4 linked regions of the Schizosaccharomyces pombe genome follow. The gene in region 2 interacts genetically with the main gene of each other region. Each region holds a gene or a part of one and is shown on either strand. Other genes may lie near its edges.

What was found.
Region 1: mutations in pfd2 (region 2) and fin1 impair growth when combined (synthetic growth defect), as found in Schizosaccharomyces pombe (2 studies listed by BioGRID, with this or other methods).
Region 3: mutations in pfd2 (region 2) and ste24 impair growth when combined (synthetic growth defect), as found in Schizosaccharomyces pombe (2 studies listed by BioGRID, with this or other methods).
Region 4: mutations in pfd2 (region 2) and pef1 together harm fitness less than expected from each alone (positive genetic interaction), as found in Schizosaccharomyces pombe (2 studies listed by BioGRID).

The regions. Positions count from the first base shown.
Region 1 is NC_003424.3:1,352,451-1,361,768, reverse strand, and holds fin1 (NIMA-like serine/threonine protein kinase Fin1), read right to left. Parts: upstream 7,549-9,318; 5' UTR 7,410-7,548; coding exon 7,350-7,409; intron 7,082-7,349; coding exon 7,058-7,081; intron 7,012-7,057; coding exon 4,927-7,011; 3' UTR 4,585-4,926; downstream 1-4,584. Other genes in the region: nucleoporin Nup40, read left to right, coding at 8,110-8,345, 8,533-9,318. UniProt on the Schizosaccharomyces pombe protein: Promotes chromosome condensation and nuclear envelope dynamics during mitosis. Activity appears at metaphase-anaphase transition.
Region 2 is NC_003424.3:512,116-519,505, forward strand, and holds pfd2 (prefoldin subunit 2), read left to right. Parts: upstream 1-1,686; 5' UTR 1,687-1,715; coding exon 1,716-1,743; intron 1,744-1,792; coding exon 1,793-1,883; exon of another isoform or gene 1,884-1,930; coding exon 1,931-2,054; exon of another isoform or gene 2,055-2,128; coding exon 2,129-2,230; 3' UTR 2,231-2,436; downstream 2,437-7,390. Other genes in the region: fol3 (folylpolyglutamate synthase), read left to right, coding at 1-945; putative misfolded glycoprotein sensor Yos9, read right to left, coding at 2,437-2,967, 3,107-3,367, 3,419-3,493; rna4 (Prp4 family U4/U5/U6 small nuclear ribonucleoprotein complex subunit), read left to right, coding at 3,682-3,718, 3,781-5,132; Fe-sulfur cluster assembly protein Isu1, read right to left, coding at 5,750-6,328.
Region 3 is NC_003424.3:1,935,143-1,943,050, reverse strand, and holds ste24 (putative CAAX prenyl protease), read right to left. Parts: upstream 4,102-7,908; 5' UTR 4,062-4,101; coding exon 4,047-4,061; intron 3,977-4,046; coding exon 2,657-3,976; 3' UTR 2,514-2,656; downstream 1-2,513. Other genes in the region: SPOM_SPAC3H1.06C (transporter), read left to right, coding at 265-2,034; protein Mdm31, read left to right, coding at 5,069-6,715, 6,817-6,975; mug151 (transcriptional regulator HCNGP-like protein), read right to left, coding at 7,254-7,694.
Region 4 is NC_003421.2:683,067-690,433, reverse strand, and holds pef1 (cyclin-dependent protein kinase Pho85/PhoA-like Pef1), read right to left. Parts: upstream 2,700-7,367; 5' UTR 2,681-2,699; coding exon 2,653-2,680; exon of another isoform or gene 2,602-2,652; coding exon 1,763-2,601; downstream 1-1,762. Other genes in the region: NatB N-acetyltransferase complex catalytic subunit Naa20, read right to left, coding at 267-731, 789-866; pgl1 (6-phosphogluconolactonase), read right to left, coding at 3,642-4,230, 4,349-4,533; DNA polymerase epsilon Dpb3, read right to left, coding at 5,242-5,385, 5,487-5,606; sts5 (Dis3L2-like 3'-5'-exoribonuclease), read right to left, coding at 6,872-7,367.

The sequences.
Region 1 (9,318 bases), 840 kb from region 2:
GGAGTTAGAAAACGTTAAAGCTACAGGGCGACAGCAGACGAATGAAACAAAGGAAAAGTAGATAAGCCTTTTCCCGAGAATTCAAAGAGGCGTGATATTGCAGTCAGCAGAGTAGTTGGAACAATGAAAAAAAGAATAGAAGAAAGAGAACACAAAGCACCTAAACCCAGACAAGCAAATAGAATAAAATAAAATAAAAAGAAAATGAAAAGTTATAATATATCGTGACAAAGAATTAAAGAAGAAGAAAAGAACCCTTCAGGTAGTAAAGGTCTAAGGTGAGAAAGATCCGTAGCGAATCAAATAGATTAGATTTATAATACAGCAGCACCGAATGGTAGGTTACGAGATTCTTCACAAAATGTTTAAAGGAAGGAAGAAAGAAACCAGCAGACTAATTATGTGTCAAGAGGAAGTAGGATTCGATGAACGATGAAAAAAAAAAGTAAAGAAGATGTTAATGGATGAATGATGATTCCCAAACAAAACAAGAAAAACACAATCCAAAACGAGGAAAATTGAGAATAGCACAAACACCAAACCAATTCTATCTAGGCTGAAGAAAGGAAGACGAATGTAACAAAAAAGAAAGGATGAACGTTATGTTTTGTATGGTTGCTTAGCAGAGGGACGACCGGCTCTTCTTAGGAGAGATGACTGATGTTATATATGCAAAGAATGGAAAAAAAAGGTGATTGTGGCAGATCTATGATTATATGAGATAAACATCAGTCGCGGCTTGTCAACCACATTTGTTACCGAGAGTGGCAGGTAACACTATCTGCAACAACGAGATCCTTTGCACATCAAACGTTAGTCCACCGTGATTTCACACCACTGCGTAAAGCAAACATCCATAATTTCAATGGGGTAAAACGCGTCGGTAAAGTTGGCGTCTTGGACTGCCGATTTTGTGAATGATAAGACGTGGAAGTTAAGTCAAGCCGGGACGTTGAAAGGTTTGGAAAGCTGCATCCAGAAAGGCCTCAACAATGGAAAAATTGGATCAGAGCAAGGTTTAGCAGTTGAAAATTGGGAGGGGGCGGAAGATTGGGATGGATAAATTCTGTAATGTCTAGGTATAGCGAAGGGGAAGGCAATGCGGAAAAGGATTTGAGGAAGGAGGCTCATAGGGATAGATGAATGATGTTTGGGGGGGGATATGAAGGACATGTGGTAGTTGGATCAATTTGCTTCCAATCTATTCTAGAGGTTTTCTTGCTTTGTTCCAAAAATATGAAAGTGGTGTCCATGATTCATGGCTCCGATAGATTCTGATTCCTCATAAGAAATTTTTTTTTCTTTGCGTTTCTTCGCTATGTTACCCAAGTTTTGGGCTGCTTTAAGCGACATTGGATTGGCTCAGCTCAGATGCCAAGCAAGTAATAGTAAGAGAGAGAGACATTCAAGGCGGATTCCACTATCCATCAGAGAAGGTGGGATAATGGGGTGGTATGAAGATGAAATGATTTCTTTAAGCGGAGTGGATGGATATTTTGAAAGAATTGCTAATTGTTTTACTTTGTGATGTGTAAAATTGCAATTTCTGTGATGGCATCGCTAACTCCATCGATATCGCTGATTCCATCAGCACTCGAAATGGCGAGCAAGCTTGCGCAACTTGCGAAGGCAAAGATGTAGGATGAAAGTAGCGATATTATTGATGAATACAGTTGTTGGGCAGGAAATATGATGGGCGATGCGATGAAAAGACGCGAATGGTTAAGAATTTGAAGAGTGAAAAAATAAAAGTAAAATAAAATTAATACATTAAATCAAAAGCAAAAAATAAAATTTATAAAATAAATCAAAAGTAAAAGTATCATTTTATAAATTAGTAATGAAACAAAACTTTGAATATGGAAAATCTCTCCATTAGTTTATTGAATAAACAAATATTTCGAATTTTTATTATTGTACTTTAAAATTTTTAAATTATTTTACCTTATAATTAATTTAATTTTTATAATTTACTTTTTTGCCCTTTAAATTTTTCTGTTTATTATTTATTATCATTCATGAATTTAGTATAATCTTTATTTTATTGCTATTATAATTTCATTAAATATATTTTGATTTCTTTTTTTCTTATTACGATTGAACACTTTTCCTCTTCTTATGGTTTATTTTGTTTTCTTTGAGTTTCCTCAACTACTTTCACCGTTGCTTTCTTTACTTTTTTTTTTCTTTCTTTAATTTATGATTATTAATTTATTATTTATTTTTTACCATTTATGTATCATATCCAAATTTTTTTTTTTTTTTATTTCTAATTTCCTATTATCCTTACTACATCCAAGCCATCCTCACTTCCCCTCGCCTCTCTTCTCCAACCGTAGCATAAACAATCCTTTCTTTCACAAAACTTTTTCACCCCCCTCACCTCTTTCTCTTTGTCCCAGCATTGCTTACCCTATCCTGCCTACCATTAAATCCCACATCCCACATCCCAGCTGTTATTGTACTTCCCAATTCTTTCTGTATTTCTGTACTGCGCTGGTTCAACGAAAACGCAAACATAAAATTTCCTTTCACCCACTCGTCCCTTGTTATCGTTGTTTTTTATTTTATCATTTTTATTTACTCTTATTTTGATTATTTTTTACAAGTTATCAGCGAGCGTGTTTATTTATCCATCCCTCTTGTTATCAGTCCAAGGAAAACTGTTTTACCGACCAGCGCATAAGCACCAAATCTGTTTTTCTTGTTTTATCTTTTCTAATTTTCAATGTATGCTTTTCTTTAGTTTTTATCGTGAGAAACAGCATTTGGCTTACAATTTTTCACATTCACATTCACATTCGCATCACATCTCATCTCATCCCATCTGCTACTCTTTGGCAGCACTCACGGATTCCACGCAATTAGCCCAAATCCGGTGATCTGTAAACATTTTTTAGCTTTCCAACAAGTGCAAACCTGACGGAATCCTTTAATACTTTTTTTTTCTTTTTCTTTTTTTTTTTTTTTTTTTGGTTGAGATAAATAACAAATTTTCTTTATTTTTTTCTCTTACACTTTAACTTTGAAATTAATCCATCTTTTTCATTTTGTACACAAATATTATATGTTATTTATCTTTTCTTTTTTTCAAGGTTCTCTCTCTTCTTCCACCACTACATGGAACGGTCCCGTTTTTTAAAAGTGCCTACTTTATTTGATTTGAACCGAGGAGTCCAAGGCACTTAATTCCTCCCTTCCCGTCTTTCTTGCTCCGCTTTGTCGGACCACAAGACAACTGCTGTTTTGACAGTTTTTGGCCTTAAAACTTAGTAAGTCACAACTACTACGAAATAGAGTCAGCAGCGTTATTACCACGTTGTTATCTTAAAAGACCTCCTTTTAACCTAATCACCTACCTCTCTTTACCACTACCCATTAGACTTCCCGGTTGTAGTGGAGGGTTCTAGGTACTTGGTGGGGGTTATGCATGCAGCCGAAGCAGAGGTGGTAACAGAGTACACAGGCTGAAGAAGATGTTGGGTAAATTAGGTTAAATGGCATGCATTACGATAAGGGAAATTACGCGTTCTTGGGATGACAAAAGTGAGTGCACAAATATCATATAGCGGTGCATAATCATCACATACCACGTAAAGTATTGACATACAGTGGAAAAAGGAAATATTGCTTCACCGAGACATCATAATGAGTCCATTACATAATAGGATATGTTTTAGCTAGCGAAGCTTCTTCTCATCCCACTCTAAAGGATCAGAGAGAGTTAAGGATGAATGGAGAAGGGTTTGTGTAAAGTAATATTGTGCTGAGTAAAGAGATATAGGGAGAGAGTTGATAATACAAAAAGATGGGGGTTGCAAGTTGGTGATTTGACTTATCTCTCAAAGAAAAGAAAGAACTTTAATATCCAATGGCCTTAGTTGGCAGCATAAAGAAAATTTGATACTTTCGATAGCTCTAAAAATAAAAAACAAAAACAAAGAAATTTAAACAAAACAAACATTTTATGCGATAAGAATGGGTTAAGATTGTAGTAACATGTGTCGGCACTTCTTTTAAGTCAAAGTATGTAAATAAAATGAAATAACAATGAATGACTAACTTTCATACTTCTACATTACAACTAAGTATTTATATGTGTTTGTCAATTACTAGTTTGTACTATATTCTGCTATTTTCATCATTGCTATTATCAATCCGTCAAGTGGTTAATTGATTCATCCCTCATTTGGAATCCTATTTGTGTCACTTCGTATACCATTAATATCCTTTTTTCTGCCACCCGAAATTGTAAAAATTTTTTTTACTTCTATTACTTCCACTTTGTTTTCTTTCTAGACTATTTTTGATGCCGCTTCCATAATCGGCTTCTTTTTGATAAGTCATCTCTCCAGATACCAGATATCTACTCATATACGAATTTACGTATATCTCCATTTATTATCTACGCAACTTATCCTTACACCAAAAAAAAAACAGTCTCTCTTGTCAAGGCTGGCGTTTCGTAGTTTTAGCTAATTCTTTGGTTCTCTCTAATTACTACATCCATGAATTTTTGTTTCTGTGTAATATTATTTCAAAAATTATAAAATTAAATTCCATTTACAATACGGCTCATTCGAATTTGGGGAAAAATATTGTTATTCAAAATTTCCTAATCATCTAAATGTGTACTGTTAAAAGGCTCAATTTACTAGCATCTCATATTCGAGAACTTGTAGATGCAAATATCGTGTTTGTATTCCTTTATTAGTAATAAACTTCGTGATAAACGCTGACCAGCAGTGTTTCATTTCTTTGAATAAATAGAAAACCAATCCTTATAATTAGGGGAAGTTCAACACGGTACGCATTTCAATAATTTCATTTACATTTGGGCCTTTATTTTTTGCTGTATTTTTTTTTTAGTACGCATTTGTGCTAATATAATTCTCGTACAATTAAATGCACCTTAGGGAACTTTACTTAAGCCCTCATCATTCGGGCGTCAAGCATTTTTCGTAGAAAGGGTCTTGGAATTTCTTCTTCATCATCTCTCCAAGACCCGGGTAGTGTTCGAGACTGTAAGCTAGTATAGTTCGAAGTAGATGCCGCCTTTCGTAGTTCCAATCCTGCATTGTCCATCGCTGATCGTCGAAGCTTGTTGTAACCAAGTCTTCCCAGCTGTTTTACAGGCGACCGCTTTTGTCCTTCCAACAGTTGTATCTTTTTCGGAGTCCGTAACACATACTCGTCGGGGTGTTGATTGATCTTCATCGTCTTAAAATTGCCATCCATTTCATTTTCTCTTGCTATCTTCTCTTCAGCATGAACATCATAAGGTGACGCTAGTGATGGTAAAGCATAGCCATGTAAGGTTTTTGAAGCTTTCGAAGGTTTCGACACTTCGTCCGAACGAATATTCAACTTTTCGAGTTTCTCCACATAAAGACTCTGCGGAGAAGGTGGGTGGACAAAAACAGACTTTGACTTCGTATCAGTCAACGTTGAATCAGTCGGGACGGATTCACCACTTGAAGCACTCACTGCCGTTTCATCGCTCTCTACGCTAAGTTTGCTAACTTTTCGATTTGGTAAACCTTCACCGTCTGAAAATTTATTACACAATTCAGAAGGGCTTAGCTTCTTTCCGTCCAAAGATGTGTGCAGCAACTTGTTCATGCAATCCGCCACTTGATTCGACGTGCCGTTTTTTTGCTGTAACGATGTAATTTGGCCATCTTTATCAATAGGTGTAGTCCTTAGAGATGACGCATTAGCTCTGTATTTCATTAATGTTGCAGTCGTATGTAAGGCTCTGCTTGATAATTCTTTACGGAGAGTAGGTCTTTTCAATATCGGTTGTTGTGTAGTTAGAGTGAAACCCGGACACGATAACGTTTGCAAGGGCTTGCTAATTCCTAACTTAGGAATATGAAGTAGGGGGGATTGTGATGCTTCAATTGTACAATCTACAAACATCTCAGCGGTACTGCTTTCAGGTTGTTCATTATGATCCACAGGACTTGTAACACGCATTTTCTGCATAGAGTTTACTACGGTTTGCATGTGTCTTTGATAACGAGCATCCATGTCACGCAGTTGCTTTTCCAACTCACGTCGCAATATCTCTTCACGTTGGGCTAAGCGAGAAGCTATAACGTTTTCGAGTTCACTTTCCCGAGCAGAAAGCCTTTGCTCGCGAAATTGGAGATCATTTTCCAATTGAATAAGCATCTGATGTTTTTTATGAAGCAAATCGCTTTGTTCCAAGACTACTCTCTCGGATTCCAATTTACTACGAATATCGGATAAAATAGGAGAGCGAAGTAGCTGGTAAGTAGTAGGTCTGAGGTCTGAATTAACTTCTAAGCAATGCCTGATTAGAAGGAAAACATCGTCGCTGTAATGATGATCCCAACAGGAGAGATTACCCTGGCAAATATTACGTTGCAATTCCAAATACGACCTTCCTTCAAAGGGATGCGTAAGCATGCAGATCTCAAAAATAACACAGCCAAGAGCCCAAACATCAGACTTCGCACTGTAAGGGCTGCTCCGAATTATTTCAGGAGACATATAGTATGGAGTTCCCACGTAACTCTGTGTGAAGACACGCGTATTGTCCAGCAATTTGGATAAACCAAAGTCTCCTAACTTAACTGAATTATTTTCATCAAGAAATATATTCGCAGGTTTGATATCTCGATGCAATACAGATTGTTTAGGATGAAAAATTTCTCTTGGCCACTGTGAGTCACAAGCAGGCGCATTTTCTCCATAATGGCAGCGATACAGAGCAAGTAGTAATTGCGTAAAAAATTTGAGAACCTCTTGCTCGGTAAATCTCTTTTTCTCTTCTTTATAACGTTGAATAAGATTGGCTAAATCACCATGACCACAATATTCCATATAAAGGTTTATTACCTGCGCAGAACGATTCAATTCTTCTCCGCAGTATTGAACAATATTTGGATGCTTAAGATTACGAAGAATATTCACTTCATCTGCGATGTACTGCTTTTCCTGCCGAGTAATGTTACCAAAGTGTATTTCCTTCTGAGCCAAAAGCTAAAAAGTATTAATAACTATAAAAATAAATTGCTTTCAAACTTACAGCACCATCCTTTAAGCGTTGAACCTATAATAGTTAGCATAATGCATAAAAAAGGAGTTGCAAAAAAAAATATCGATCAAAGTTTCAATTTGAAAAACTGTTTTGAATAGAGTACAAACAATAGCGAAAAGCATTTAAATCAATATAGTTTCCCTGTTTCTTAAGAAAACAATTGATTCAATGCTATAGATTCATTTGCCAACCACAAGTAGTTGCTCGCAAATAAACTGAAAACAAGAAAGAATTTTGCTATCCAATAACCAATTTCAGTGAAAATAAGATTAAAACTTACTTTATAAATCCTTCCAAAACTCCCATGTCCAATACACTCAAGAATCTTGTATTTTTCCATACTTCAGAACAGAAGTAGCCCATGAGATTCAGGTAAGCTTAAAATAAAACTAAATTTCTCGGTAGGACCTTTAAAGAAAAAGAAAAATTCTTCTATCAATTAATAATATAAAAAATACTGCTTGGAGTGATTGAGTGCTAAGTATATGAATTTCAAGCCAAGATGTTTATGTTTGGTTCTTCTGCAGTGTCTCGTTAAATCATCAAGTGTAAACAATGTTGCCATGGTTAGGAGTAACACTGTTACTTCAGGTGCTTATTGCTACGATTATAATATATATCCAGTCGCATTTTAATTTCTGTAAGAAAAAGATACGCTATTCAATAAGCAATGAGAAAAAGTTGTGGAGAATTTTTATCATCTATAATGCCTTTTATGACATGATTGTATAAGGTTTGTTGTAAATGAGCTTGGAATTTAACAGAGTCCTTTAAATCAAGTTTTAAAAAAATGAATAGCTAAACGTATTAATATTAGTTTGAGGCTTTCAAAAGATTTATCTGCATGTTTTATAAAAATCAATAGCATTAACAATAAACTGTTATTTTGCGTTAATTGGTTTTAGTGATCTACGCTAGGCTTCATGATTCATTCCATGCAAGCCATCTCCTTCAAATGAACTTACCGCTAATTTATATACGTTGCAAAACATATGTTACACAACAGTCTATCACAAGACTCTAGTAATATTGCCGGAAACATGTCTTTTGGGGGAAGTGGTTCTATCACGAATCGATCAACCTTAAAGCCACTTTCTGTCGATGATTTACGTTCGCCCTCTCCTCAAAAAGAATATCGTGGATTTCGAACATCTGTTTCTAACATTCCACAAGAAAAAAAATTTGTTCCCAGTCATCTTTCACACTTTGGATCAAGTCAGCAGCGTCGATTTGCCCCAGAGGTTAGCTCGCCTTTAGCAGAACCATATGAGTCATCGTAAGTAATTTCTTTGAAGAGTTTAAGGGACATTTGAAGACGGAGGATTAAAAAATTGTTTAGTATAATTGCTTTTTTACCTAATATCTATCTATATCCAAATTTGTTAGAGCTTCAGCCTAATCCCTATGAATTTTTAAATATTAGACATAAACTCTTAGAACCTTTACTAATTTTCTCTAAATAGCTCTTCCTTCCGTTTATCTCTCTCGAGTCCCCCTTCTTCAAAATTCGGCGGACCCAGCTTTGGTACACCGAAACCGTTTTTGCATACAAATCGTTTAGGTACCGGATCTTTAATTGAAGATGCTCCTCCTACTCAATCCATTTATGACTTTTCTTCCTCTAGGCAAATTAATGCTCTCAATGTTGGACAAAGTTCTTCCCCTTTTTCTCCTGTCTCTGAAAAGGTATACGACCCTTCTTTTACCATGTCTGGCGCTCCTCAAGATTCAAATACCTCCGTTATCGTTTTCGGTTTCCCACCAGAATTGACAAATCAAGTAATAGCTGAATTTTCTCGTTTTGGAACTATTATTAGCGAGAATTCATTAACTGCTTCAAGTGCCGGATTCACTCCCTCCAAGGGTCCCATATCTGGTAACTGGCTACAATTAACATATGCTGAGCCTTCTTCTGCTGCCAAAGCAGTTTTGTCTAACGGAATGTTGATAAATGACTCTTTTATGGTTGGATGTATATACAGCCCCGCAGAAGCGAAGGAGCATGTTCCGAAAACGTTAAGAAACAGCAATAAAGACTTGGAAATGACGGATGCCTCTTCCTCCGAAACCTCAATGTCTATTCCCGTGCATGCTGATGCCCATTTCCAATCCCAATCTGGTCTTGGTAAAAAAGTCATTGTTCAACACAAAAATGATATTTTTAAATCTTCTCAGAAACATCAACCTCGTAATTGGTTATTTCATTATTTATTTGGTTTTGGTTCAACTGAGCCAATAGATGAGGAAGA
Region 2 (7,390 bases):
TTAACTGCTACTGCGTTCCAATGTTTTCATCATTCAGGTGTTCGTGTGGCTGTAATTGAAACAGGAATGGGTGGTCGTTTGGATGCTACTAATGTATTTGAAGAACCAGTTCTTTCAATAATTTCACGTATTTGCTTGGACCATCAAGCATTTTTAGGAAATACCTTAGAGGCTATTGCTAAAGAAAAGGCTGGGATCTTTAAAAAGAATGTTCCGTGCGTGGTTGATGGGTTAAATGAAGTTAACGTCCTAAATCAATTAAAATTAAGTGCAGAGGAAACGAGGGCACATCCGTTTTATTTGGCAAAAGGAAAATCAGGTGAAAACAAAAATGAGTGGATCATCAATACTCCAAATTGGGGAACCAATACTTTTAGTACTCCATTGAAGGGGGATTATCAAGGACAAAATTTGGCTTGTGCAGTAACTGCTCTCGATATCCTTTCTTCGTCATTTTCAATTATGCTTCCCCATGTACAAAATGGTGTAAAAAATACATCTTGGCCTGGAAGGCTTGACATTCGTTCGGTTCCTTCTTTGGGTGATATTTTATTTGACGGAGCACACAATAAAGAAGCTGCGATTGAGCTTGCGAAATTTGTAAATTCGCAAAGACGTGAGCACAATAAATCAGTATCATGGGTAGTAGCTTTCACTAACACAAAAGACGTTACTGGGATTATGAAAATCCTTCTTCGTAAAGGAGATACCGTTATAGCGACAAATTTTTCTTCAGTAAGTGGGATGCCCTGGATTAAATCAATGGAACCTGAAGTTATAAAAAACAGTATATCTTCGGAATCTTCTGTGGAATGCTATACTGCAGATAATCTAACAATAAGCGAAATTTTAAGACTGGCAAAAGAGAAGAATTCCAGCGTAATTGTATGCGGTAGTCTTTATCTTCTAGGAGACATGTATCGTTATTTAAAACTGGACGTATAGCCTCTAAATCGTGCTGTTTACTTTCATACGTTTTTCCTTGTTTGACAAATTTATCATATGAATTGTCACAGAGTGATGAATTGTGCTCTAGAGAATTTTGTTCCATGACTTAAAAACTAAAATTTACTTTCAAAGAAGCTTGAATGATGCTATCAGGTTAATAGAAAAAAGATAAAAGATTTATATTAAGCTTTGATGGGTTTTTGGTGTGAGTTAAGATATTGAGTTAGAAATTGACTTATAGATTACGAATACATTAGTTTAAATACTTGGTGCGCTCTGCCTGCAGCCTTAATAAAACAGATATTATTTTCATTATGTGACTAGATCTTGATTTACAATTCTTACAAGATAAGGTGGGATAACTGAAGCATATTTAGCACATTGAAAGATTCCGCCTTTCTTTTAATTATTATTAAATACTGTCGTAACTGCAATAAAATAAGTAAAACGCTGAAATCGTTAAAAAAATATACCCTTCTATCTCACAGGTTGAGCTAATCAAGTTGATATACGTATAGTGCAAATGATAGGCATTTAAAAATTAGACTAATATAGTTTAACTATTACATTAATTTTAAAATACACAAACATTTAATTACTGTTTTAAAATTATACTCAGAGTCTAATTAATTACAGATTTACCGTAATCCATAGCGCTTGTTATCTATCATTACAGCAACAATGATTGCTACGCACTAAAATTCGTATACGTTTTAGATATAACATGTATAATCCACCAACATTTTTTGAGTATACAAAAAAGCAGAATGGCTGAACAACCTTCTCGGCAGCAGAGTATGTACTGTGGATGAGTTTAAAATACAAAATAGTTGACCAGTTCCAGTTCTACAGACGCAGTACAATTCATATAAGTCTCGGTTACAACAAATTGCGCAGAAGATTGTCGATTTGGAAACCGATGCTGACGAACATAAGTATGTGATACATAAAAAATTTTTAAATTAAATACCTAACTAAAAAGACTTGTTATGGACACATTAAACTCCATGGATAATAATCGACGTTGTTTTCGAATGATCCATGGAGTGCTAGTGGAGAGAACGGTGGGAACTGTTGTGCCTATCCTTAAAACTACTCAAGAAGGGGTAAGGAATTTTTTTATTTTGACCCTTTATTGTCAGATGAATTTTTGGTCTTGATGTACTAATCAAAATATTAGATTCAAACAGCCATGAATGGTTTGCTCGACCAGTATAAGCAGCTCGAAGCAGAATTCCAAAAGTTTCAAAAAGACAATAAAATTCAAGTCGTTAGACAATAATACAGATGACTCCATTAATTGCGCAGTTGCGTTCATTGACACGCCGACTGTTTTTCAAGTGCTTTATCTTCGGTTTAACATTTTTTTCCTAAACAGAGGAACAGGGATAGAATCCAAGAGTATTTGTGTCATCAAATATCATCACTTTATGTTATTAGAGTTTCACTTAAACCGTAGACTTAATACATGTAGTAAGTTAGGTAGAACTAACTTGATTGCGTCTCTACCTCCTTCACCTCAGGCGGAGATGTTTGAGCAACTTCATCAACAACGTGCTGGGAATCCTTATGGTCGACTTCGTTTGATTTTTCTTTAATTACATTATAGCACACAATTTTTTCAGAGGGTATGTCCTCTTGAATTTTGAAAGCAGGTAATGAGCATAAACCGGGAACGTGAATAGTCATTGAATATGCACAGCTTGAAACTTCTTGATATTGAGTAATTTCAGGAGTATCCGAATTTGTACTGCATTCATAACTTAGAATTACGTGTCTTGGTCTCTTAGTAATGTCGCACATAGTCCCATTTCGGAAAGTTGTTTGCAAATATGCTTTACCTTCAACAAATCCAATAGCCCAATTTTCTTCCAAATTCTTTTTAGTTTGAGTGTTAGGTGCCGTACCAAGTATATACATAGGGTTAGCAAGGACTTTGTCAGAACCTTGCTGCGGCTCCAAATGATATTGACGCACGTGTTGACCGTAGACATAGTCATAAGTCCAATAACCACGATTCTAATACAATGATTAGCTTGAAAAACACTACATGTACTAAAAGTAGTCATTAATTCTAAAATTTTTATGGACATGTCAAATAATGACCTTTTAGTAAAGTTGGTTTGTTTAAGACAAATAAAACAATTAGAACTCGTACCTCGATTAAAAATACATTAGCAAGCTCATTGATTTTTTCAGTCCCTTGTATCCGCAATTCTTGTAAATCATAGCTTGGTTCGGTTGTGCTATTTTGTTTTATAAGAGACGCATTGGGATATACACAAAAATATTCATGCTTTCCAGCATAGAATAATGACGATAATTTAGTTTTTTCAGTTTTTTCTTTAATTGAGTCAATGTCGCCCTCTAATATTGACACATTACTCCATTCAAACGAATATTTAGGATATTCATATGCCTACAAAGGAAGTCCGTTAGAATTGAAGAGAAATTAGGTTCAAGAGCATACATCATTCCAGTCTAACAAAGAAGCTAAACATATTGGAAAAATAAAAAACCCCACAAAAGCAAATGGTAGCACCATAGTCCTAACTTTAGATGAGCCGATTGCAGGTAGAATCAAATGTGGAAACATACTTGAACTGAACATATGCGTTATATCACAGTATACCGAAGTGCGCAAAGCTCGAACAATTTACAAAAAGCTAAATACGATAGTGCGTAAAAAATAGTAGTTTACATTAGAGGTAAGTGTTACACGAGATTGTTAACATGAATGAAAACGAGGGCATTTCACTTGGTGAATTAGGTACGTTGCTACTAGAAGCATTAACTCCTCCTTTTAAATTTTAAACTAATAAAAAACTTTAGAAACAAGACCGTTTTCAGAAGGGATAACGCGGTTTACAAAAGAACAAGCAGCTTATTACGCGGAGCAAAAGGAAAAGGATCGCATTAAGGCTCTTAAAATTCCTTATGAAGATTCCAAAGTTCGTGAATATCTGCGTCGTTATGGTGAACCCATAACTTATTTTGGTGAAGATGCCTTAGCCCGACGCCAAAGGCTTCAGCAATTAATGATCGAAAAGTCCCTAGAAGGAGACAATCCATTAGATGTAGACCAAGGGGCTTCTGAAAATATTGAGAAGGAGACGTATGTTCAAGGAAGTCACGAACTATTAGTTGCTCGTAAAAAAATAGCTCTTTACTCCTTGGAAAAGGCAAAGCTCAGATTAAAAAAAGAACGGGAAATTTCCGAGATTCCAGTACCTGAAATTGTACTTTCCGGAAAGTCTTCAATCGAACATTTACAAAAGGCTGAATTGATGGGCTCTCAGATAGGTGGTGAGCGACCAATAGCCATTGTTAGATTCAGTAATAATGGAAATCATTTTGCTAGCGGAAGCTGGGGTGGCCAGGTCAAGGTGTGGAATTCTGATAACCTCTCAGAGGTTCAATTGTTTCGCGGCCATACCGACCGAGTTTCTGGTTTGGATTGGTATCCTCTATGTCAGGCATGGGATGCAGATTCTGAGCAGCTGACTTTAGCGACTGGAGCCGCAGACAATACTGTTTGTTTGTGGAAAGCAAGTCAATCTACTCCACTGTTACGTTTGGAAGGACATTTGGCTCGTGTTGGTCGAGTTGCTTTTCATCCAAGTGGTGATTACTTAGTTTCTGCCTCATTCGACACTACATGGCGGTTATGGGATGTACATACAGGCGTTGAGTTGCTTATGCAAGAAGGTCATTCGGAAGGGATTTTTTCAATCGCCTGTCAGCCAGATGGGTCGTTAGTTAGCTCAGGTGGTAATGATGCTATCGGTCGGATTTGGGATCTTCGATCAGGCAAATCAATAATGGTATTAGATGAACATATTCGTCAAATTGTCGCGATGGCTTGGAGTCCAAACGGCTACCAACTTGCAACTTCTTCAGCCGATGATACTGTGAAAATATGGGACTTGCGGAAAGTGTCATTGGCACATACTATTCCCGCACATTCTTCTCTTGTTTCAGACGTTCGTTATATTGAATCAGGTGTTAACAGATTCATCGCTACGAGTGGTTATGATGGCTGCGTAAAGCTTTGGAACCCGTTGAACTGCTCATTGATTAAAAGTATGGTGGGACACGAAGAAAAGGTTATGAGTGTTGACGGTTACGGAGACAGATTTATCTCATCAGGATACGATCGTACAATCAAGTTATGGTACCCTTAAATTTGGGTGTGGCAAACGGTTTTGGTAATGAGTTTAATATAGGCAAGACAGTCCTTTCTGACTATTTGCGTGATGGGCAACGAAACAATGAATATATATGAACATTTATATTACATGGTTTAATAGCTAGAAGATGATATTCATGTATACTACTAAAGTTTAAGCAAACACAGAAACAGCTTATAGTTTAGAAATAAAAGACTCTAAATTATTTTTCATTAGACGTATAAAGATTCGAATAAAATGCTATAGCAGGAACTAAAAAAAAAGGAAGGGGAAAATGTACAGAGTAATGATTTTTATAACCACAATAACAAGCAAATAAGCATCAGCAGCATTTTGAAAGAAAGCACTTGCATCAATTTAGTCCAGATACATATAGTGCAGAAACATTAATCAATATATATTGCTAAATGGGAGGAAGAATGCAAGCAAACACATAGACCATATGTTTACGCCAAAGTCGACAAGCAATCTTATGTGGAAAACACTGTTTACATGTACGCAGTTTAGGAATTAAAAGGACCGGGTAGAAAATTAGGAGGCGGGGTCAAAAAGCGGAGCGGAAATTAGCAGATTTTTAAACAGATGAAAGCTATGACTTTACAATCAAGTTTCTAAGCGGTAGCAGACTCAATAGCGCCAGCAGTTGTACCAACAGGCGTTAATTGTTTAGAGCGATAATGCTTTACAGCGCTTTTAATGGCATCCTCGGCAAGCATGGAGCAATGAAGTTTTACAGGAGGCAAGCAAAGCTCTTTGGCAATTTGGGTGTTTTTAATTTTAGAAGCCTCCTCAAGGGTCATGCCCTTGACCATAGTGGTAACGTAGGATGACGAGGCAATTGCACTACCACAACCAAAGGTCTTGAACTTTACGTCCTCAATAACACCATCCTTATTGACACGAATAGCAAGGCGCATAACATCGCCACAGGCGGGAGCACCTACCAAGCCGATACCCACATCGGGATCACCTTTGGGCAAAGTACCCACATTCCGAGGATTGTTGTAATGGTCTAAAACATTCTTATGGTACATACGACGAGAGACGTTTGCGGTGACTTGAGGGACGAATTTTGACGAGTTCGTTTTGAGAAACTGTAAATTCGCTGGACGGGCAAGAAGAGAAGAGCGTTGAGCCAAAATTGAAGGCAAAACGCCAACGCATTGAACGGAGCGACGGAAGACACTCATTTTAGGGAAAACAAAAGAAAAAAGAAAAAAATCAGATGACAAATCACGTCAAGATCTAACAAAATATCTGTATCACAAATCCAACTAGATTTGTTTTCAAAACGTATCAAGTAAAAGGCTTGAGTACGTTTTCAGTGTTTTTGGGGGATGGCAGGGAGTTTTCAAAGTTTCAGATTTTATCTGATCTATATAAAAAAAAATAACAGCTTTGCCTTTAAATCTCCTTATACGTAAATGACGTTAAAAAGTGTGTAAGGGTAACGCAAGGAAATTTGTAAACCGGGTTAATAAGATGACAATAACTATGTACACTCGATGAAAGGAAAAATCGATTCAACTATGTATCGACAATAAACAATCAAGACGTGGTTGAAAAAAATCGTGTCAGAGTTATGTAGTCTTATAGCACACAAAACGAATTGCTTTATTCAATGAAATTATTTTTCAAAACAACTTTAAATTTATGTTCAAAACGTCCAATATTAAATGTTGGTGAGTTGTATGAGTCAGTAGTGTTTGAGAGCAGTGCCTGCTATATATAGTGCAAGTCAGTCTTGAGTGTTTTCGGCCATCTTTATCTCATCTGATATGAGAAGAAATTCTGTTTGTCGAAAATGTGACTGTTTTTCCCTAACAAATCACAAAGCTAGCTTAAGGTGGATGGTAGCGAATAAAATAGGGAAGGCAATAGTGGCAAGCGAATCGGAAATGCGGTTTCAGCAGTAAACGCCAATTAAGGGACTAAAACGTAATCCGGTATTACTAGATTTACGAAGAAAAAGTTTTGGGGAGGCCACAACAAAGCAGTCTGAAGCTTATGCAAGTATGATGTACAGCTAGACAAATAAAGTTGTTTTCCATACACAATATGGAAATTCCAGTGTTCGATGGTGAAGGATATGTGTTCACAGTATATTCGAAACAAGGTTGTGGGATGTGGGATATGGAAATTGGAAAGAAGATGCCGTCCCCCTTTAACTGAGGAAGGAATATCAGATAGCAGGCAAGAAGTAGTTAGCGAGAAAGAAAGTAGTCAGTTAGGGAGTACAGGTGGAAGGGACG
Region 3 (7,908 bases), 1.4 Mb from region 2:
TCCATTGTAAATTAATATAACAATGCGTCCGTTTCCATTTAAAAACTATTCAAGCACTATAGCTGCTATGTGAATGTTGTTTTTCATCCTTTAATTTCTTCATTTGTTATATTTCTAATCAAGAGTGTCATTATATTGCATTACTTTAATTTTTCTTGCATTCCTTACTATTTTCTTTTTGAATTTTACTTCATTTCGTTTTGCATTTTGTAATTGTGAACCCCTTTCTTTACAATTGCATTTGTCTCTCAGCTCCAAGATATTATGAACCCTTCGTCTTCTCCAAATCGTAGCTTGAATCCGACTAGAGGATTGAATCTCTATAGCACAGGGAATGAGGTAACATGGTTCTCTTCCACCGTTGATGAGGTGAACGAGCTAAAGCCTGCAAAATCAAAAGCCTTTTCTATTTCAGCCCAAGATCAAATTTATGGTACTAGTTCTCTAAAGTCTCGGTTTTCAACCCATGAAGCATCGTCTGAGAAAGATGATTCTTCCGATTTCACCCTCGTGTTGCCCTCCAATCGAATGTACATCGTTATTCCAGGACTTATGTTGTCGATTTTCCTGTCCGCCTTGGACCAAACTGTCATTACTACAGCTATTCCCACTATTGTAGCAAATCTCGATGGCGGTTCATCGTATTCGTGGATTGGTACTGCTTATACTTTGGCTCAAACTTCAATTCTTCCATTTTGTGGTATCATGAGTGAAGTAGTCGGTAGGAAAATTGTCCTCTATACTTCCATTGTTCTTTTCCTCTTCGGTAGTGCCATGTGTGGTGCTGCCCAAAATATGCTTTGGCTTGTACTATGCCGTGCTGTGCAGGGCATCGGCGGTGGAGGCATTACATCTCTAGTTACAATCGTTATAGCTGACATTACTCCTTTACAGACTAGACCTTACTACACAGGTTGTATGGGAGTCACCTGGGGCCTTGCTTCTGTCATGGGTCCTTTAATCGGTGGTGCAATTTCGCAAAAGGCTAGTTGGCGGTGGATTTTCTTCATTAATCTACCTACTGGTGGTCTTTCGCTCGCACTTTTGATTTTTTTCCTCAATCTTGTACCCAAGCCTACAGTTTCGTTTCGCGTGTTTTTACGTGATTTTGACTTTGTGGGCATTATTACCATTACGACTGGTGTTGTGTTGTTTTTAGTTGGTTTGAATATTGGATCTACAACAGGTCATTGGGCCCATGCCAATGTCTTGTGCTATTTAATTTTTGGTATCCTGTGCATTGCCGGTTTTGTTGTCAATGAATTCTATACTACCCGTACTAGAATTATTACTCCCTCGGCATTTAAAACGCTCTCTTTAACATCTGTAATGGTAACATCCTTTTTACATTATTATATTGTCTCAACAATTACTTACTACATCCCAGTATACTTCCAAAACATTAAAGGTGACGGGCCCTTGATGTCTGGCGTTCACACATTATCTCTAGCGGTTGTATCCTCACTTCTTTCTGCTGTTAGTGGTATGGGAATAGGAAAGTTGAAAAATTATCGATATCCAATGATTGGAGGATGGATAGTTTTATTAGCTGGTACCGGTAGTATGATTGCGATATATTATAACACGGACATATCACGTACCATGGGATTCTTGGCTTTGACAGCAGTCGGAACTGGAAATCTATTTCAACCAAATCTCATTGCTGTTCAAGCTTCTGTACCTCCTGCTTTGATAGCGACTTCCTGTTCTGCATTTATGCTGCTAAGAAATATGGGTGCATCTGTGGGAATATCGATGGGAGCGGTAATCTATGATCAGCAACTAACGACACTTTTAAAAGGAACGAAGTATTCTGCAGGGCTATCATACTCTCAAATTGCTTCAATTCCCAACGTAAGCGAAAAGAACTTTGTATTCAATGCCTATGCTAATGCCATTCGTATGATTTGGATTGTAAATTGTCCAGTTGCAGGAGTAGGAATGCTTTTGTCGTTTTTTACAAAGCAAGAGAAGTTATCTCAAAGCGTCACGGAGTACAAAGAAAAGGATAAGGGATTCAAAGATGCTCCTTAAAAACCGTTCTTTTTTTTTAAACCTTTGTGGAAAAATCACTAGACAACCGGTTATCAATTTTTACTTTTTGCTATATTGAAATTATAGCACTGTTGTTTATCTGCTTGAAATTTTCTCCACCTACGTTTAATGATGAAGACGCTTTGCTATTCGACTTCCAATGTTTAATGTTTGCAAGTTTAATTGTAAGCAAGCATAATTTTGATTTGTCCTCCTGATATATCTTTCTATGAATAGTGGATTTTTAGGCAAGTCTTAAATTAGTTAATTGATTAATATGCTCATACGTTCCCTTCGCTTTTGATATTTCGCATTTGCTGGTGCTGTCCACCATACTCAAATTTTATGAACCAATTTTGTATGTGCTGTTACGAGTTATTGCATATCGTCTTTTTTTGTTTTGATGTTTCTTTTTTTTTATTGATTTTTTTCCCCCTGACTTTATTTTCGTTAAGGAATGTTGCAATTTCTCAAATTTAGTTTAGTATACGTTCATATTGAATCGTTGCTACTCATTGTTACTAGTAATATCATTTTTCTATACAGATATGTAAGCATAATATATTTTAACAATTTTAAGGCAAATTCGTGCATTTGACATAATTTCATTCACTCATGAAACCTAATTGTTCTTTTTTAGCGTCGTGTAATCAATTGCATTCAAACGATCAACCAAGATGGGATGACTATGGTAATACGAGGTATATAAAGAATCAAACTCCAAAGGAGAAAGATTGTCATCATGAATGCGTATTAAACCATCACCCAAATCCTTTGCGTACCCTAATTGTTTAGCAAAAGCATCCGCTTGATACTCACAAAGGCGAGAAACTTTGTTGGAGGCAAACGTAAGGATGGAGGATAAAGGACCTAATGCGTCCGAAAAAAGGAGAAGTCCAACAATTACAGGTTTTTCGGTAATGAAATTGAAGGAAGTGTATAAGCTATTATTTCGAATAAAAGCAGCAAATAAGAAGAGGTGGAACAGACTCATTCCGTAGTCTATAATAGTATTAATTAAATTATGAGACATGTACCAATGACCAAGTTCGTGACCAAGAATTGCAATAAGTTCCGGTTCCGTATGATTTTTCACAAGAGTATCAAAAAGTACAATTCCTTTGTTCCATGGAAGCCCATAAAAGAAAGCGTTGGAGTGAGTTGATCTACGACTAGCATCAATCACATAAAGCTTCTTCAAGGGAAAATTGATACTGGCAGCTAACTCTTCAATTTGTGTTCTAAGACTTCCATTTTCAAGCGGTGTAAACTTGTAAAACAAGGGCATAATTAGAGAAGGAGCAATAGTTTGTAAAATGAGGCCAAAAACAATATAGGCACCCCATGCATACATAATAAAATTATCACCAAACTTGGTCAAAATTTTAACGAAAACACCAACGACAACACTCATAAGTAAACCACCAAGGCTTAATTCCTTTAAAAGATCAATTACGAAGATCTTTAAAGTCGATTTATTAAAACCATACTTTTCCTCGATCACAAAGGTTGAGTAAAGATTGAAAGGAATTTGAATTAAACGAGAAAACAGAGTAAGTCCAAACATGAAAACACAGGAATGCGTAATCGAAGTCGATAGACTAAACCTTGAGGATGAAGCAGCTAATTTATCCATCCAAGGAAACTTAGTGATATTCCAAAGGTATGAAAGTCCATCATATTTAATAATCAAAAGATCAACGGCTAAAGTAAATGTGGAAACAATAGTAGAAAACCAACTTTTATCACGAGCATAAGACAATGCTTTTTGGTACTTTTTTTCATCAACGTGTTCAGCTAAAATAGCAGGAGGCTTTTCTCTCAACAAATATGGCACTTGCCTGCGACGAAGATACAAATCCCAGGCATACTTTCCAATAGAAAATCCAGCAATTACTATTTTCCAAGGGAAGCCTGGAATGTCTAAAATGTGCATCAAATGCTATAAAAACGTTAATACAAAGTTTTAAACCCCAAATATATTCATAAAAAATCAACTAATCGTTATATACCTGTAGAATTCCCATTTTACAACAATTGGCAAAACTTCTTGTAGTAGGCTTTGGTGTAGCTTGTATGACTGAAATTTCTTTTAGGAAGCAAAGGCCAGGTGACATAAATAGAGTTCAACTATCGAAGAAAAAACAAAAAGAAGTAATCAAATAGCTTTTTGCGAGAAACATATTGTAACATTCATGTTGCACGCATGCTACCTTGGTGTGCATAAGACCTAGACATTTAATACATAATTTGCGTCCATTAATTCAGTTAAAAATGGATTGTGATTCTGTAAATATTTTTAACAGGCATAACGCATATATCATAGATAACGAAAATGAAATCTCAACTTTTCTTTGTCTATTTAGCCGTTGCATCAACAACATTAAAATTGCCAGATGAAATTAACGAAAATAAAGAATTGGAATATGTAAGTAAAGATAAAATTAATTTTATCTTGAAAAGAACTCGGTGAAGTTATATTCAGAAGCTAAATACTACTATAACAGTATGCTTTTTGGCGGCTTCTTAATGCCTTGGACATGAATTGGAATTCTATTCAAACTAAGCGCAATAGTCTTAATAACTCAACCAGCATAATTAAATTTTAGTAGTTAATGCAGGCAGTTAGTATAAAATGTGTATACAGTTGTTGCTTTATAGTCAGCTAGTTAGCTAATTGTTATAATTAAGCAAAGTATGTAATAATTCGATGTCATCTCATTCGTACAAAACATCTGATTTATAAAGTGTATACTCAGAAGCATATATAATAATTTGGAATGGATCATCGTTATTTTCTATATATTTTGCCATCTTAGCTAAAGATTTTAGTGTAAACTTTGCTAGTTATTCTCCTATTTTCTTTCTGCAGACAACCATATACAGGAAAGGCATTGAAACTTTTATAATATATCATTACAGGCAGTTTATTTCTTTAAAACAGAAGCATATATAGAATAATTTGTCTTGACTGTAATTATATACACTAATTGTGCTTTTCGAGAAGGTATTATTTATTTGACCTCATAAGTTGATGCTCGAATCACGACTTGCGAAGAATATAGCAAGGATTGTTCAGGCCCGTAAGCCCTATTTAATTTCTTATCATGTTCGTGCTTCTACTCAAAATGCCTTACTCAAGCAAACCGTTTTGCAATCTAGCAGCTTCAAGAGTTTTCCTACTCTTCCTAGACTAGCAGCTAGGAATATTTCAAACAGTGGGATATTGTCCCGTACTACACCTGTAATTATTAAGCAAATATCTATGGTTAGAAGTTACTCGTCTGGAGATGTTGAAAACCCTGAGATTCTCAACAAAAATGAATCAAATCAATCTTCCGGCGTTAAAAGGGCAATGCCATTTCGCGTATTAAAAAAAATGAAAAGCTTTCTTTTTAAGCAAAACAAACCCTTAACAGTGGATAATGTTACTGCCTTTTTCAGTTGGTGGCTTGTGAGCCATATAGTTTGGATCGTAGTTGGTACAACAACTTTTTTTTCATTGTTATTGTACACCTTAAACACTGTTTCTGCACAGGAACTATTAGGAAGATGGATTGGTCAGTTAATGACAAAAAATACAGGGTTCCAATTCGTCTTTGAAAGCGCAATTGTTCCCAATTGGAGGAAAGGATTAATCACATTCAACAAAATTTCCGTAATTAGAAGACCTGATACTTTGAATGGCATTGGAGCACAAAATCCGAATAATAAGTCTGATTATGAAAAAGAGTACATGGCTTTACGAAAACGTTATGATTCTAATGAGGAACCTGACACTGAGGCTCTGAGTCAGGGAAACTATACTCAATTTGAGTTATCCATTGATAAGGCAGATGTTTCGTTTAGCTTTGCTAGGTTTTTAAATGGTAAAGGGATTGTTAAGGAACTTCAGCTGAAAGGTGTTAGAGGTGTAGTTGATAGACGGTTTATTGAATGGGATCCATCCTCCGATCCTCGTGATTACCGTCGTAAACACAACTGGGGGGATTTTGAAATCGAAAAATTTAAGCTAGAGGATTTGCGTGTTACTTTATTACAACCTAAAGGTTTTCGGAAGTTCCCCGTTAGTGTTTTCTTTTGTGAGCTTCCTAGGCTTAGAAAACAATGGTTATTTTATGATTTAATGAATGCTAAGACTCTCACCGGAAGCTTTGATAATAGTATGTTTACTATTCATCGATTACAACTTCGTCCATATTCACCGTACCTAAAAGTCGGTAAACAACTCGATGATATGCGACATAGTCGCTTGCGTATTGATAATGTCGCAATCGATCATCTAAATCGAGGTGTTTCGGGAGCATTTGGATGGATTAATGATGGCAGTGTTGATTTTTTAGTTAATATTTCTTTTCCATCAGAACCTTCGGAAAATTCTTTCCAAAAAGCGTGGATAAGTTTGATGGACAAATTGAAAAAGAAAGAAAAAGATGAGGATGTTTACAAAGACGTTCACTTTGATGTTAATGTGCAATTACATAATCCCAAAGCCGTAATTCCTATTTTTACAAATCAAGTAAGCTATATCAACAATGCTTTAATTCGACCTATTATTGCTTACATTAATTCCACACGGACATTCATCCCTATTCTTTGTCATGTATCAAAACCGCTTTCTGACTTTGATGGAAGCTGGACTTTTTACGACAGTGGTGTTTTACAAGAAATTTCGGCGCAGGTAAGTTCTACCCTGTTCCTTACTATAAAAGAGCGTCTTTTCCTAAAATTTAAGAGTAATTTACGCTTTTGAATATTAATAAATACTAATTTTTGATGTAGGTGTATGAATCGTTTGCTCGAGATGTATTAAATCAAGAGATACGAAGAAAACGAATTCAGAAAGTTGGCTACTGGAGTCTTCGGAGGTTTTTGCATTTAGTTTTGGTTTCTTTGCAGGAATTGGCTCCGACAACTTCTTCAATCAGTAATTTCGAATAGTTAAAAGTGATGCTATTTATTATTTACGGTTCTGATTCTCTTCATGAAAGGCTTTTTTGTTCTATCGGTAGTTAAAATTATTATAATAACAATTATTATTTTTGAAAATTGACTAGGGTAAACTAATGACTTAAGCTACTAGCCATATAAATGTCTTATCAAAATTGGCATTTCTGGATCATTTATTCATAACAGGCTAAGGTATTAAATTAAGTAGTCTTATATATATTCGGTAACGAAATTATTTTTACAAACACATTATCTTTTGATACTCAAATTTATTTAGGATGTTGAGAGGTTTGAAATTTAATTTCAGTTCTATCATGCTTTTGGTAATTTTCACGCCTGGCAATCATTTCATCCTGTGATTTAGAGAGTGCGGATGCATAGACGTTTTTATGAAAGTCCGTTGGATCCCACATATCCTTAGATATCATAGTTCCTCTTGGCTCCTTAATATCCAGAAAATCCTGCAAATTATCAAGTAACTTTGGGTTTCTGAAATTTTCATTTTCTGATAGTCTCGTATGAAAATGAATGCCCTTTGCCTTTAATTTTATAAATTGCTTTATCTTTTTCTCCAGCTCTGTGTCAACTTCAGCTTTAGGAGAATTTGGGATTTTCCAATGGGGTTCCTCAGAACGTCCTTTAATATCATTGTTTTCATTTACTAACGAAGTTTGTTCCTCTTCCTCTGAGTCGTAGGCTACCAAAGACATAACTCTTAAAACTCAAAGCATTTAAAGTAGATAGATAGTGTACGGTAGAAGCAAATTAAGTATTGTGCAACCATAGTGGTTGCAAAATATATAGGTTTGCTATTATCATCCAAAAGATGCAGACTTTTTAATTTCCTTAATTAAAACCTAGGAAAGGTAATTTATAAATGCATCTACTGGTTGTTTGTTAACAAGTGTAAAAACCTATAGTTGG
Region 4 (7,367 bases), on a different chromosome or scaffold from region 2:
CAACCATTGTGTAGTGATACATTATTTTATTGATAAATTATCAAAATGTTCCAAAGAGTTGCATAATCATTAATCAAAAACTTCAAATACTTACAATATCAATATGTAAGCAAGGAAAAGGACCGAGGTCTTAAAGCATAGCAAATATTAGTCGTTTCTGAACTTTGATTTTCATTAATATGATGTACATACTATACCATTTACCTAATATAAAAAAAAATCTTCTTCCTTTGCACTAGTTAATAGATTTGTAAAAAGAGAGTGAACTAAAATGAAACATCAGCTGGGCTGCATTTGAAATTTTCCCCATTCTCTCGAATGCTTTCTCTATTAACATCTCGCGAAAGTGGTTTCCGCATATCAAATGAATCCTCATCCTTTCCATGTGGATTACTATAGTACCCAATAACTCGTCTATAAACCGAATACCCCAATCCTTTGTAAAAGTCAATTGCAAGTGCATTGCTGGCACGCACAAACAGGTCAACAAAAAAAGCGTTTTCAGAATTTCCTACAGTTTCTAAGTAGTCCATCATCGTTCTAGCAAGGCCTAAACGACGGGAATTTGGCGCTACTGTAATGGCGGTAACATGAGTATGCCACTCTTTACCGGTTCCTTCTGATTTCCCCATAATATAACCCATAAGGGTTGGATCAGATAGGTCAGACTCTTGTACAACACACAAGCTAGGCCATTTGTTCAAATAACTGAGATAAAATGAAATATTGAACTAAAAGTTGTTCGAGTTAATGAAAGTCCGCTTTAAGTACGGTAGATGGTAACTTACGGTCTCCGTTAGAGGATCTAAATTTATATTGTTAAATGAAAATAAATCAGTAGCTTTGAATTTTCGCGTATCAGTCATTTTTTCATGTAATGTAAATTCTAGCAGTATGGGTAAAACTAAAAGATTTGGCGAGGTAGAAGATGTCGTAAAAATACGATAAGCCAAATCCGTATATCTCCTTAAACAATAGATTGCTGGGCCAAGCGAGTAGAAAAACTCAAAAGAAATTGTAAAAGACACAATTATTATTTCATGTTTACAAATTGAACCTTCTTCCTAAACGAAACTCAAAGAAATTTAGTCACCTCCTACCATTGATGCCTCAAAACTGAAAAGATGGAGTATAGATGAAAGTAAATAAAAAGAATAATGAACGACAGAAACCACATAAAATGTCGAATGGTTAAAGAGAACATTAATAGAGAATCCCTTCATGCAGTTAAATAATAGGGAAGGAAGCCATTAATCCACTAATAAAAATAAGTGAAAAAAGATTGTTTTTCATGTGCATTGCGGATAATTGCTTGAAATCCGCAAATTATTATCAGTATACTAAAAACCCGCATTGCTTTTTGAATATTATCCTTTTGCTCCTTCATAAAAATGTCAGACGCAATGCGGATCATTCAATTCTTTAAGTATTTCATTTACGACTTGAATGTCATCAGCGACGATATTTTAATCGTAGAAAATAAAACGCCGTTTAATTCTTGGCTAAAAATATATTCGACAGCTTCAAATCCTCTCAAAATAATAACCAAATATTTACCTCTAAACCTCGTTTAAAAAAGATCAATAGGGATAGCTACTTGGGCTAAAACAGTTGCGAAGAAATTTGAACGTCCAAAAATATTGTGCTCTTTCCCTAGGTGAAATGCATTCTTTCCAAAAAAAAAATTAATGATTTCAATAGGAAACTGAAATGAATAAATAAAATCGTAATTTGGTTAAACTTTTTGATGTTAATTTACAGCCTATGCGGTTAAAAACCAAGCATGTTGAAGCGCATCCTGGCCGGTCGTCCTTAATTCAGGTTGTAGACGAAGCATCCGTCGTAACAAATCCAAACCAAGAGGATCAAATGTTGGAAATAGGTAGGCGAGATCTTGTGCTTTATAAATAGGGAAAGTAGGCTTATATTCAGGAAGTAAAGAAATTCCGGGCCATGATTGTTCAGTAGGAGTTCCCAATAATCGGAAGATTTTTAGTAGCTGATCCTCATTATTTGACCCAGCAAATAGAGGACGTCCTGTAGCCATTTCTGCCATGATACAACCAACTGACCAAATATCAATGGAAGTTGAATATACTCGAGAACCCAAAAGAACGTCAGGAGCACGATACCATAAGGTGACCACTTCGTTTGAAAAAGTATTCACTGGAATTCCAATTGAACGGGCTAACCCAAAATCCGCCAATTTCAATTCACCACGACTGTTGATAAGCAAATTTTGAGGTTTCAGATCACGATGTAGAACTCGGTTTTCGTGACAAAAAGATATCCCTTTGAGTAATTGTTGAGTAAAATTTTTTACTTGAGAAGGTGGAAGAGCTCCTTGGTTCCCATAAGTGTCCATGTACTTTTTCAAATCTTTTTCCATATATTCAAAAACGAGCATAAGCTTATTTTCGGTTTGCAAAACGTCTGAGAGAGACATAATATTGGGATGCCTAAGCTCCTTCATAAGACTAATCTCACGGATAGCAGTACTAGGTGTTCCTTCATCTGCATCAATACGAATAACTTTGAGAGCGACAATTTCACCAGTCACTCGATTTTGCCCCTTATAAACATGCGCATATGTTCCCTCTCCTACTTAAGTTAATGAAATTGCAAATTTTGGGACCTCAAACTCATACTTACCTAACTTTTCAAGCCTTTGGTAGTTCATGTTGTGCGATGGAAATATCAAGTGCCTCCTCTACGATGACTAACGACTTAAGGTGATGTTAAGCTAACAAAACTGTTTTTAAGACCTACAGTTTTGAAGAATATGCTAAGAAAAAAAATTTTTAGTCTATTGAGTCATGTCGAACATCTTGCTATAATGTAAACTATTGTAATTAAGATCACTACAGCTTCTATCACAAATTAACCTAATGATAATTAATCAGAAGGTTGCCATCTGTAGAAAACACATAAGTATTAATAAACCCTTACATAAAGGAGAGTTTAAGCAATTGCATGTTTTTGGATATAAATTTCCATCTTTGCTTAAAATCTATCATAAGCAGTATGAGAAAATGCCGTAATTTTGCATAATTTTAAAAATGAATTAATGATTTAATAAAAGAATTGAAGCTAAACTATATCACTGCAATTCAAAAACAATTGGTTTACTTTATCTTGTTGATGAAACACATTTTAGAACATTATCACCAACAAAAAATGATACAAGATAGCTTAAGTTTATATATTTCAATGATTCATTTCTTCATTAAAACATCATATTTCTGCAGTGTGGGTTTGGCCAGTGATATCAATCAACTAAACATGATTCTAAACGAAGCAATAAAACAATTTAATAAAGCATTAGCTTCTTACACATTGTTTACAAGACTAACCTTTATACGCTAGTCTAAAATAAAAAACAGACAACAAATGCAAAGAGGATTTGAGGAACAAGTTCTCTCCTAATCTACTAACATGTGTTAAAACTGGTCATCAAGCATTCCACGGAAGTGACTGAAAGCATTTTGAAAGTCATTATCTAAAGCGTTTATGCAAAGAATCTCACGAACAACAAAAGAGAACTGCAACCTTTCCCTTGAAAGACCTTAAAGAAACAAGTAATGAATCCGAAGCATGTAGCAATTAAGCATTCTAAAGGCCACCTGCTTAAATTGAACTGCCTATTGAGGGAAAACCTTCAAAGAGGATCTCTCAAGATTGGCTGATGCTTCATCATCCACAAACCAGCTTGTACGAGTCAAATTGTTTCGAGTGATCAGCGCACTTGGAAGTTTAGATGTAAAATCCTCAATGACAATAGGCAAAATATCCTTCTTACCAGCACCTGTGGTAACAAAGGCAATGGCTTGAGCATGTGTGACAACCGGTAAAGTCAAAGTGATGCGGTCTTTAGGGGGTTTGGGCGAATCAGTGACTGGGGCCACCCAAGCAACGTCTTCCTGGAGTACCTCGTGATCGGGGAATAGAGAACATGTATGGCCATCAGGACCGCATCCTAACAGCAGTAAATCAAACACAGGGACCTTAACAGTGGAGCTATTTGCAAACACATGCACTAATTGTTTTTCATATTCATCAGCAACATTCTGAGGGTCAATAGGATTTTCTTTCAAAAGCTCAGGATTGATGGTATGAATTTTTTTAGGGTCAAATCCTTCAAACTTGTCAAAAATCAACTTTTTACAGAGCGCATAATTTGAGTTTTCATCATCTAAAGGAACAATTCTTTCATCAGCAAAGAAAACTTCCCTAAATAGAGCTGTTAATCATAAATTGCCTTAAGACAGAGTGTTTCACGTCAACCAAAGCTAAACAAAACCACAGTGAATCCATACAACTCAAAAGTATATAATATCTGTTAACTTACCATTTGGAAAACTCGATACCTCTCTGTTGAGCCAATCCTTCAGCCAAAACCTTTGGTAAACTTCCTCCACTAAGAGCTAAAGTGAACACGCCATGCCTTTTAATAGAAGCTTCACTTTTCTCTTTAACGAATGCACCAAGTGCCTTTGCAACTAAACTAACGTCTGAAAATGAGTAAACCGACATTTTTTCTACTTGGTTCTGGTTTGCTTTCAGTATTTGCGCAATTGTTAGTAATGGAGTAGTATTAACGAAACAAGGTGGAGTGTCGTAATTCATTCGGTAGTCGGAAATTTAGAACAGAACAAATCTTAAATCAGTTTTCGAGTATAGTAATGTACGATTACGGCATTATCACGGCAAGGTAGCGGAGGTATAGAATATAACCATGAAGCAAGCAATACGTCTGCATCGCTGGGATTAGATAAAGAAGCTCGACCTTCTCTGCATTTTTGTTTAAATAAATGAACCAAATGATATTGAGAAAGGAATTAAATGAAGAATATACAGATGGGCGCTGGTAGCTTTTCAATATCTTTCAATCGAGTTCAAACGTTTAACCATTTCCTAATCATTAAGATTGTTTATAGATGTAGCTAACAAAGGCCGCAAATTAGTCATGATTGAAACATGAAAAATCAGGTAACCCAATTTAAGAGAACATGTGTTCTATTTTATCCAAATAGCTACAGTAGTTGTTTGATAAAGCTGTTTGAAAATGCGCATTGTGGATAAAAAGACACAAGAGCATGAAAACGAAGAAGAAAACTCAAATAAAATTCATTAAATCACATTTTACTGACAAGATGATTGTTTCCTTTCATTTCATGAGGAAGTTTCTGAACAAGAAAGGAAACACTTAAGCTTCCGTTTTCCAGTTCTCACACTTTTTAATTATATAGAAAACAAATCTGATAAAAATTCAAATTGATCGTCCTTACGTACAACGTCCTCAACGTCCCTGTATCGTATTCCTTTACGTTTTTGTAATTTGGCAAGTTGATAAGCCTCTGTTGCTAACTTTTCAACAAATAATTCCTAAATCATAAAATAGGTAAGCTTTTATTTTTCTTTTTCTTTTATGCAATCAAAATGGTGCTAAGTCGCCCAGATAGCTGATTTATCAACAACACACATACAGTAGCTACTGAAATTAACAAAGCAGATGCATTAGAACAGTAGTGTACGTCTTCATCTTGCTTTATTATCCTCTTTACTCTGCTCAATGGCAATACAGTTTTCCCATATGTTTTCTCCATGAATCAATCCTATCGACCGAAACAATTTAAAGGACTGGAAAAAAGCAATTATACCCTTAAACTATAAGGTTCTAATATAAAATAACCCAAAATCTCTAGTGCTATAAAAAATTATAGCCTTCTGATTTCTGACTTTTAGTGTGTTGTTGTCAAAATACGAAGTACTCTCGCGTCGCGACCTAATAATAAACATACTTACTTTACCACTAGAACCTTACATTGTTGTTTAACTTGAAACATAAATATTTTTAACTTTTTTTCTATTTTTAAAGAGTATTTCATTTAGTTCTCATAATTTCTAAGACTTTGTGGATTAATAATTTTTTATAATCAGTATAGCATGCGTATACATCAAAATATACTCGATATCGAGTTAATACACTTGGTAAACAAAAGCCGATATAACAAGGCAGCGTTAAAAATGAAAAATAGTAATCACTAAGAATATTTGTAGAATCCTTTTCTTTTTAATATCTTATGCCGTTTTCATATCATAAAATAGGACATGAGTAACTAACACATCCCGGATACGTTTCATAACTATAAATTTGAATATTTTGTGTAAGAAATGAACTTAAATTGCAAAAAATCAACTGAAAATTGCTAAGATGTCGTCCAATAGTAGATTCATTTTAAAAAAAGAAACAAAAAATAAAAGACTCAGCTAACCCCAAACGACCGATAAGAATCCACTTCTGATTGCCTAATCGCCGCAGTGATTGCAAACGCAAACGACACTTCATCTACTGGTAAGCCAACAAAGTGACATGTATCAATATAAAAGCAGGATTTCATTTTTGAAACAAAATCCAATCTAATGTATAAAAAAGGAAAAGTTCAAGGTATCATCAACTCATGCACTCATAAAATCACGTATCGAGACTACTGGATTCCTTCATCCAACTCTATCATCGTGAACTATCGTAATCAAGTTTAATCATCCTTTTAGTTATATAACATAAAAAATCGGCATCTTAGTGTATAAGATTAAACCGAGTTTTCGAGCTCCTTGGCTATGCAAAACTTGTAAATCTCCAGAAACAAATATTAGACGTAAGTAACAGCTTCGTCGAAATTAAAGAGAAAAGTAAGAATGGGAAAAAATGCAGTTTTAGAATCGTAACATATTTTTTATCAACAATGCCTAATAATAAGAGCAATAATATGAATGAGAATATAAAGCCATTCCAGGCATCCGAAAATGAACATGTGTCACCAAAAAACACATACATGAAATAAACATTGCAAACAATCGAAGTTCAACATCAAAACTCGACATTTGAAACGTTGATAAGAGGTGGAGTCGAAAGCTGCACAAAGAGCTTAACTTTGACAGAGGTCAACAATTTAACAACTGTAACGGCTCCGCTCTCGTCGTATAAAGATAAAATGCCCTGGTCCTCTTCAAACCTTACGTGGGTTAGATTGAGCAAATCTAAATGAACACGTTTCTCCATGCCTAGAGATGGGAAAAATACGTCAAAATATGATGGAGCAACAAAACATACGAGACCGTCTTGCCAAACCTGACTCTCCGCCCAGTCACTAAATATTTTTATATGAATGCTAGTTTCTTGCGCAAATTTGCTTATAACCAGACGACGGCTTGCATCGTTTGCCGCTTGCGACCATACACGAAGGCGCTTTTCAGAAGCCAGTTCTCCTCTCAAAAGCAACTGCAGTTGATAATGAACTACAATATCACCATAACGTTCCAAAGGTGCTGTAAAATGTGTCAAATCGTCACTTTCGTCCTCAATA